Linked DNA regions of Oryzias latipes. Each later gene encodes a partner of the first gene's protein in a complex. Links are inferred from orthologs where the notes say so. Each region holds a gene or a part of one and is shown in the gene's direction. Other genes may lie near its edges.

Region 1 (4,510 bases):
AGAGGCGTCTTCTCCTCTGGCATCTTGTCGTCGAAGGGCTGTCCCGCCTGAACCAAGGACAGCCCTTCAGCTGCAGGTATAGGCTGCAAGGAAACAGCTGGAGCAGCAGGAAGGAGTCCAGCTTCCTGCTCAATCACAGCCCTTTCCCACTTTTTCTGCCGGCTGGAGAACTTGAAGACACAGAGTATGCTGGTCCCAGGATGCTGGGATTTAGGAAAAGATACAACATCAGACCGAAGAAGTTAAAGGCTCTCACAACTGTGAGCAGAAAGTGAAAGTTTCAAAATTTAAAAGCGCATCTTTTAATAAAAACACAAACATTCAACATCGTTTCAGCACTTAAAACCATCGATTTCTCGTTAAATCAAAGGAAAAACAGCACTTACGTCCAACCAGGAAGACGGCAGTCATGACAGTAAAAGAAGGGGGGCGGGGGCGAGAAATTGGAACAAATCCAGCTCTCTGATTGGACCCCCAAAGTTTCAGAGTTGAAATTGGAACGAATCAGGCCATTTGATTGGTTGAGAAGTTGGAACATTTGGAACATGTAATGAAAACATGATGAGTTTGAACCAAAAATACGTCAGCTGCCCTGGACACGGCATCTCTGGTGCAGCAGTCGCGGTCCACATAGATCAGCTGGGGGGAGGAATCTTGGTGAATTGACACGGCCTCATAAGCACAGTCGCCATCCTAAACAGACCCTCGTGTTGTAGCCATAAACCGTGAGCAGTCAGAAAGGCAATGGAAGAACGGGCATAGGTGGAGGTGATAGAAATTGCTCCCTCTCATTGCTTCAAGCCAGGAACGACTCACAGTGAGTTAGTTAGTGAATCCTTCTTCCATCAGCAAGAGCACTAAAGATGAAAGGGGGCTGGGTCTTTTAGCATGACAACGATCCCAAACACACTGCCCGGATAAAAAAGGAGTAGCTTCTTAACAGCAGTTCAAGGTCCTGGTTTGGCCTAGCCTGTCAGATCGCAACCCCCATAGAAAATCTTTAAAGGGGAATGGGCTAAAATACCAACAACAGTTTGTGAAACCCTTGTGAAGACTTACAGAAAACGTTTGACTGCTGTCATTACCAAAAGAGGGTATGTAACAAAGCATTGAGTTGAACTTTCCTTAATTGTTTTTTCTCATTTAGTCTCTCATAGTTGAGGTATCCCTGTGATGAAAGTTACAGGTCTTTCTAATCTTTTTAAGTGGGAAAACTTGCACAAGTGGTGGCTGACTTTTTTGCCCCACTGTATCGGAATAAATTGATATAATATAGGCCCTTTTATGGGAAAGAAATGTCTAAATGTGGTGAAACTGAGACATAATTTTCCTGAGGTTAATTTTTACATTCGGCGCCCCATACCCTTTAAATGAATCCCAATAAAATCTAAAATTAGTACATACTATTCCTCGGACATAAATCAATTCTTTGTTTCCAAAATAATGCCAGTGTAACGTGAAAACATTTATATAACTTTAAAATTACATCTTTAAAAATTAAACAAAAAATTACAGTGCAATTTGAGTTTGTTGTTGAAGTTGTTGTTTTTTTGCTGTCATTTCTTTCATAAAAAACACAGGCCACGTTTTCCCGACTTTGTAGGTAACCCTTGAAGCCGCGAGGTGGCGGTAATGCGTTAGATCTTTTGTGCATTGCCCTCACTAGATTCCACGAAGAAGATGAAGCGCCCATCTCAGCTGGCCCTCTGCTAGTTTCTGACAACAACGCGTCTTGTCTGCCGACAATGTTCACACGTTCGTTCCATAGTGACAAAACGGCAATCTTTTTTAAAAGCGCTCCTTAAATTTACGTTTTCGAGTTGATTCATGATGGAGCCAACCGCGCCTAAAAGGTTTGTAAAGATTCCAATTGTTCAAACTTTAGCATAATCGGATGCTAGCTGAGCCCCTACTAGCTAATGCTAAGCTAACTCATTTAGTCGTTAAACTCCAGTGGTTTTGTTTGAAACTTTCTATTTACATGGATATAGGCCCTACTATTCTGTACTTCCTCACTTCAAAATTGACGTTGAAATTTCGAAACGGTGACACATTTTTAATCACAATTTTAAGGAACAACAAAAAAGTGTACATTTTATAAAACGTCTTGCCTTTTGTCCCTACAGGCAAATTTAATGTATTTAAAACGTGCGCGTACAGCAATTAAAATAACGAAAACAGTAGCAAATTTTATTTACAAAATGTAATTTAATTTATTGCGTTCTTCAAAACCAGTTAAGTATTATTTTGTTATGCAATTACATCATAAGCATATAATGTACTTTTCTGTTTGGCATTATATTTTAATTTTAAATACATTTGAAACTTTAACATGTTCATAACCTAATATTTATAGAAATATTTTCTATCTGCTGTTTTTATTAGAGCTATAGTAACAAGGTAATTTCCAATTTTTGTATCAATAAAGTTTAATTCAGTTGTATTTTGTTGTATCATATACAGTACAATACATAAATCAGACTTTGCACACACAATTGGCTTTTTTATTTGGTTGCTTTGTTGGTTTTCCTCATTTTATTGAATTTTATATTTGAAATTAAATGTGAATTTTACTAATACAGTATCATTGTGTTGACAAAATAAGTTAGGTTTTAATACTTTTTATGGTTGACAGTAATCCTGAGTGAGTGAAACTACATCTTCTTAAAACCTTTTCACATGACGAGCAAAAACCCACAGGGCCTTAATCAAGTAACATGAAGTCACTTCCTGGTCATTTTTGAAAGCCGTTTCATTGGAGGATTTCTAGTTGTGCTGTTTTTAAGCCTGTTATTGAAAAACTAAGAAAACACTTCAAGTCTTAACTATTGTGTTGAAATCCATACTGATAGCAATAAACAATTAACAAATCTGTCTTTTTTGGTAGACATTTTATTTGTTTCTTGCTCTCTGTTAAATATGGTAATCAAAGCAAAATTAATTAAAACGTATTTATATTAATTGAGTAAATAAATCTCATATTGTTCCCTCTGCATTACCTAAAACTATCTGGGCTATTTATTATTTATATTGTCTATTGATGTCAATAATAAGATGACTTTCTTTAAACTGCAGCAAGCTGAAAAAGCTGAGCGAGGACAGCTTGACAAAACAGCCAGAGGAAGTGTTTGATGTATTAGAAAAACTTGGTGAAGGGTAAGAACTTTGATTCCTTTTTTCTTTTCATCCTGTACTTTCCTTTTTTACAGTTGATTGTTGTGTTATACATTGGTTTTGCGCACCCTGGTGTGGTGTGTGACTAGCTTTGGTGTGTGCTTAGTTCCTATGGCAGTGTCTTTAAAGCCATTCATAAAGAGTCAGGACAGGTTGTGGCCATCAAGCAGGTTCCAGTGGAGTCAGATCTACAGGAAATCATCAAAGAGATCTCCATCATGCAGCAGTGTGACAGGTGAGAATTCCAGATGTCTCTGCAAATGCTTATCCGTGTCATGTGGAGTACATTAGATGATCAAAACTATCCAAAGAATTAGTCAAACTCAAGCTCCTCTGCACTCTGATGTTTGCAGGAATACTTCCCTTTTTTTGAGGTTTAAATACAAACTTTGCTCTGAACCTCTTTCCAGCCCTTATGTAGTGAAATACTATGGCAGCTACTTCAAAAACACAGACCTTTGGATTGTCATGGAGTACTGCGGAGCTGGATCCGTTTCTGACATAATCAGACTCCGCAACAAGACGGTGAGCCTTTTAAGTTTATGGTTAGAATGTGTTGTAAGATTGATCTGTTAGATTTCTTCCCTACTTGAAAAGAAACACTTAAAAGAAGCAGAAATAATCCAATTTTGACTACAGTTAGTCTATTTGGGCTGAAGAAATAATGTATTTATTTATGACTACCCTGATCTTTTATTAACACCAAGGTTTATCTCGCCCTGCCCTTTTTTGTTTTGTTTTTGCTTTGCTTTCATGGTCCAGCTGACAGAAGATGAGATTGCCACCATCCTTAAATCAACCCTGAAGGGTCTTGAATACCTTCACTTCATGAGGAAGATTCATCGTGACATCAAGGCTGGAAACATCCTTCTCAACACTGAGGGTCACGCGAAACTGGCAGATTTTGGAGTAGCAGGACAGTTGACGGTAAACAAGAAGAAATGATCCACTTATGTTTATTTGATTTGTGTAACTTGGTCTGGAATTTTTTTTTTTGATCCACACAAATCATACTTAGATCTATTTTAAACATGCTCCCAATAACGATAAAACTGTTTTCAGCCAGCCAAAATCCAAAAACCTGTGTCATTTCCTAGGACACAGGAAATTCACCTCTGAGTTGCAGCGTGGAGCAACGCCCCCATTCCCCATCACCCATATCTGAGAGCTGTTTGTACTCTCCCTTTTGCTTACACCTCCTCACACCCCTAACCTAACATTATCGCTGCAACAAAAATAGCGAGCAATATTGGAACAATCCAACCGGACCAGTTTTGATCTAGATGCCAGCTCAGACGAGGAATACGAAGACGTTCGTGGATGTAGTCGTCTACAA
Region 2 (3,279 bases), on another chromosome or scaffold:
GGTCCATCTGCGGCTCAGCCGACCCGTCACGGTCCAAGCTGTGGAGAAGGCGGGCTCAGAGGGGGGGTTCAGCCACAGCCTGGTTCCGTCAGAGGAGCAGGAAGAAACGGACTGTGGGCCCACGGAAAAGAGAACTTCTTTTTATTTGCCTCAGAACTATATAACACATCTCCACATCAGCTCTCTGAACACGACCGAAGAGGTCATCAAGGGCCTGCTGAAGAAGTTCGAGGTGAAGGACAACCCCCGCAAGTTTGCTTTGTACAAGCAGACGCACCGCAATGGACAGGGTGAGCCCCCCAGCCTCTGTCCCTGCTAAACACACGAGGGTCATGCAATGGTTGTTAAAACATGAGAAAAAGATGTTTTAGACAGTAAAGAATAAGAACAAAAAAGAAAATCCTTCACTCAAATTTAGACTTTAGACAGATTCCATGTTATGTTCTTATCTTTCCTATAATTTTCTGTCTATTTGAAATCCAGATTATTTGCCGATCATGAATAAAAACATCTTCAGGGAGACTCTTCGCTCTTCGTGTGTATTTGATTTGACATTTTTTTAATGAAAATATGTTAACTTGAAAGTGTTTTCTGTGATATAAACCTGGTCCGTCCAGCTTTTCACCAGCGTTTCTCTCTCCTCTGTGCAGATCTGTTCCAGAAGCTTCCGCTGACCGAGCGACCTCTTCCTCTGAGGCTGATCGCAGGGCCAGACACGGAGCAGCTCAGCTTCGTCTTTAAGGAAAACGAGACTGAAGAAGTGGAGGTGAGTGAGCGGGCGGGGAGGCAGAGAAGCACGCATTCGGGATCGTTTCATGGACGCCTTTCGTCTGTTTTCGTCCCACAGTGGCACGCCTTCTCCATCCCCGAGCTTCAAAACTTCTTGATCATCCTTGGGAAAGAAGAGTCGGAGCGCATAAGAGCCGTGGAGCAGAAATACACTCTCTACCGAGAGAAATTACAGCAGGCCCTACAACAACATGACCCCTGACCCCACCTGCCACCTTTTCAACCCAGAGAGAGACTGGTTCCTCAGACCTTCAAACTTCTCCCTGTTGAGGCTCCACTCAGACAGACAGACCACACTGATCCTTCTCCTTTCTCAGGATTGACACGCGCTCCCTTAAACGTCCACAGGCCGGCTCCCTGAGGAGCGCCTGTGGGCGCGTAGTGTTTCTATTGCCAAGGACACAAACCGGGAAGACCTGGACTGCAGTTTAGCTTCATACTGATGTGAAGCTGTGCTGTTGTTTTTGAAGCCCTCCTCTTCGCTACCGTTACCGCTGCTGCTGCTGCAAGTGTTACTTATGCATGAGTCTCCACTCATCTACCCTGCACATAGTTAAATCTGAAGGCATGCTTTCTTTTTCTTTTTTTCCTACGGTTTGCAGGAGTGGAGGGACTGCCACGCTTTTTTTTCCCTGCTTTTTAAGGAAAGAGGTTTATTTTCATTCTCTGATTTTTCTCAGGGAGCATGTCTTTAGCTGAGAGGAGGAAAGATGGCCCTCACCTCCTCCTCGCACCACCTTCTTTTTATTGCATGCTCGTTTATTCCTTTATGCCCGCCTAAATGTGAGAAGATGCCATTTACACCTGCTCTCACCTGCAGATTCTAAAGCGATGACAACTGTGACGTTATTCCCCTAAATTAGCCTTACATGAACTCCACCTGCGCCGGACACGAGAGGCAGCCCAGGACCTTTACTCAGCAAACACTGTCACTGTGGGTCACGTGTGAATGTGGAAGGACACCAAAGCTCAGAGGAAGGGGCTTCAAAGGGACATGTAAGGTGGTGTACCAGCTTCAGTTTTGCACAGATGGACGCAGGTCTCACCCCTGGGGGGGCTGCGCATGCTTTGATGCGTCATTTTATCCTCCTGCCTTCTTCCCCATAGAAAGAACCATATATAAAACGTGTGATATTGGCTATCATGTACCAATGATATTTGTTATGCATATGTATACACTGGAAACAAGAGTGACGTGGTTTAGCTCTGCTTTTATGAATAATATTTTTGGTATCATTCCTGCTGGCTCTGGAGTGTGAGTGTGTGTGTGTGTGTGTGTGTGTGTGTGTGTGTGGGTGTGTGTCTGTGTGTGTGCACATGCTCATCCATAGTAATGAGGACGGTGAAAGGATTTAGAATGAATGTGTGTATTTAGCCCCAAATTGTCTTTTATCCTATCATTTCACAGGCAGGTGAAGGTTTGTTTGACGTGCTCATCGTCATGTTAAGGCGTCTCGTATCTTCTAGAGTTGAGATAAAAGAGGCCCGTCATCCATACGTACATGTTTGACTCTTGCCTCCCCCCAAAGCCCCCCAGCTTTCTCCCACTGGCAGTGCCTTTTGTTTCCTTCGCCCCTGTGTGTGCGTAGAAGAGGTGTTTCTGCACACAGGTGTGCCTCCTGGGCTCATGTATGAGTGCTTTTTGCATGTGTGCAAATCTTTTTTTTTTTTTTTGGGTGGTGCTGTTTGCATATTTTGTTTTTCCTCCAGGCTCCTTCTCATCTGTCCAAAGAGTCCTCTGTGGACGCGTGCGAGTGTGTGGATGTGTTTATTTATTTCACGGTTCACAACCATCCAAGGACATTATATAATGGAAAGACTTTTTGTTGCCTTTTTTATGTTTCTTTTAAAAAAATGTATATACATATAAGTAGATATGTACAAAATATTGAAATGAAATTAAAGAATAAATCTTTATTGAAAATAACTATTTGCTGTTTTTTTTACCATAAAGTCTGCACTATGATAAAAATCTAGTTTTTGGTGTTTTTAACATGGATGGAGGAATTTTATAAAGAAAATTAAGCTCCAAACTGTATTTCTGAGTATTACTTCTAATTGTTTTGAATCAGGAGCAGATGAAAAAAAGCAGCTTGGAAAAGAGCTCATTTGTGATGTACAAAATATGATGGGATTGGGGGGAGGGGGGGGCACAAGCTCCCTGCTCTGCTCCATTCTGATGCTTCCACTAGATCCAGGGACGTCTTTGTTATCCTCATCCGAGCTGGAATCTGGCTCCATTACCTAGAAAATGTGACTTTTTTTTTATTTTGGCTAAAAACGCTATAACAGCACGATGCCATGGGAATGATTTTAAAATAACTGGGACTTTAAACCTTCAAATGTAATCGGGAATGAAACACAAGAGGGGCAACTTTGCATCACTCTGTGTCATCAAAAGGAACAGATTGTCCTGTTTAGACATGACTTTTGGGGATTTGGTTGAGCTAGTTGTCTCATCATTGTGTTGATTTTAAACCACCAGCAGGT

Evidence for each region. The genes of interacting proteins can lie anywhere in the genome.
Region 2: the proteins of serine/threonine-protein kinase 3 (region 1) and rassf5 are in contact, whole or in part, in a crystal structure (PDB 4LGD), measured with the Homo sapiens proteins. The link is inferred for Oryzias latipes from reciprocal best matches to the Homo sapiens genes STK3 and RASSF5. Residues at the interface, in NP_006272.2 of Homo sapiens: Phe437, Phe439, Leu440, Leu445, Leu448, Gln449, Arg451, Leu452, Leu455, Asp456, Met458, Met459, Glu462, Ile463, Leu466, Arg467, Tyr470, Lys473, Arg474, Pro476, Ile477, Leu478, Ala480, Met481, Lys484, Gln488; in NP_872604.1 of Homo sapiens: Trp369, Asp370, Ala371, Phe372, Ile374, Leu377, Gln378, Phe380, Leu381, Leu384, Glu385, Glu387, Glu388, Lys391, Ile392, Val395, Gln396, Lys398, Tyr399, Phe402, Arg403, Lys405, Leu406, Ala409, Leu410, Ser413.

Annotation. Positions count from the first base shown.
Region 1 is NC_019869.2:24,049,857-24,054,366, reverse strand, and holds the start of serine/threonine-protein kinase 3, read left to right. Parts: upstream 1-1,667; 5' UTR 1,668-1,827; coding exon 1,828-1,853; intron 1,854-3,075; coding exon 3,076-3,156; intron 3,157-3,280; coding exon 3,281-3,409; intron 3,410-3,584; coding exon 3,585-3,699; intron 3,700-3,936; coding exon 3,937-4,101; intron 4,102-4,510. UniProt on the Homo sapiens protein: Stress-activated, pro-apoptotic kinase which, following caspase-cleavage, enters the nucleus and induces chromatin condensation followed by internucleosomal DNA fragmentation.
Region 2 is NC_019863.2:28,012,674-28,015,952, reverse strand, and holds the end of rassf5 (ras association domain-containing protein 5), read left to right. Parts: coding exon 1-290; intron 291-650; coding exon 651-766; intron 767-847; coding exon 848-991; 3' UTR 992-2,716; downstream 2,717-3,279. UniProt on the Homo sapiens protein: Potential tumor suppressor. Seems to be involved in lymphocyte adhesion by linking RAP1A activation upon T-cell receptor or chemokine stimulation to integrin activation.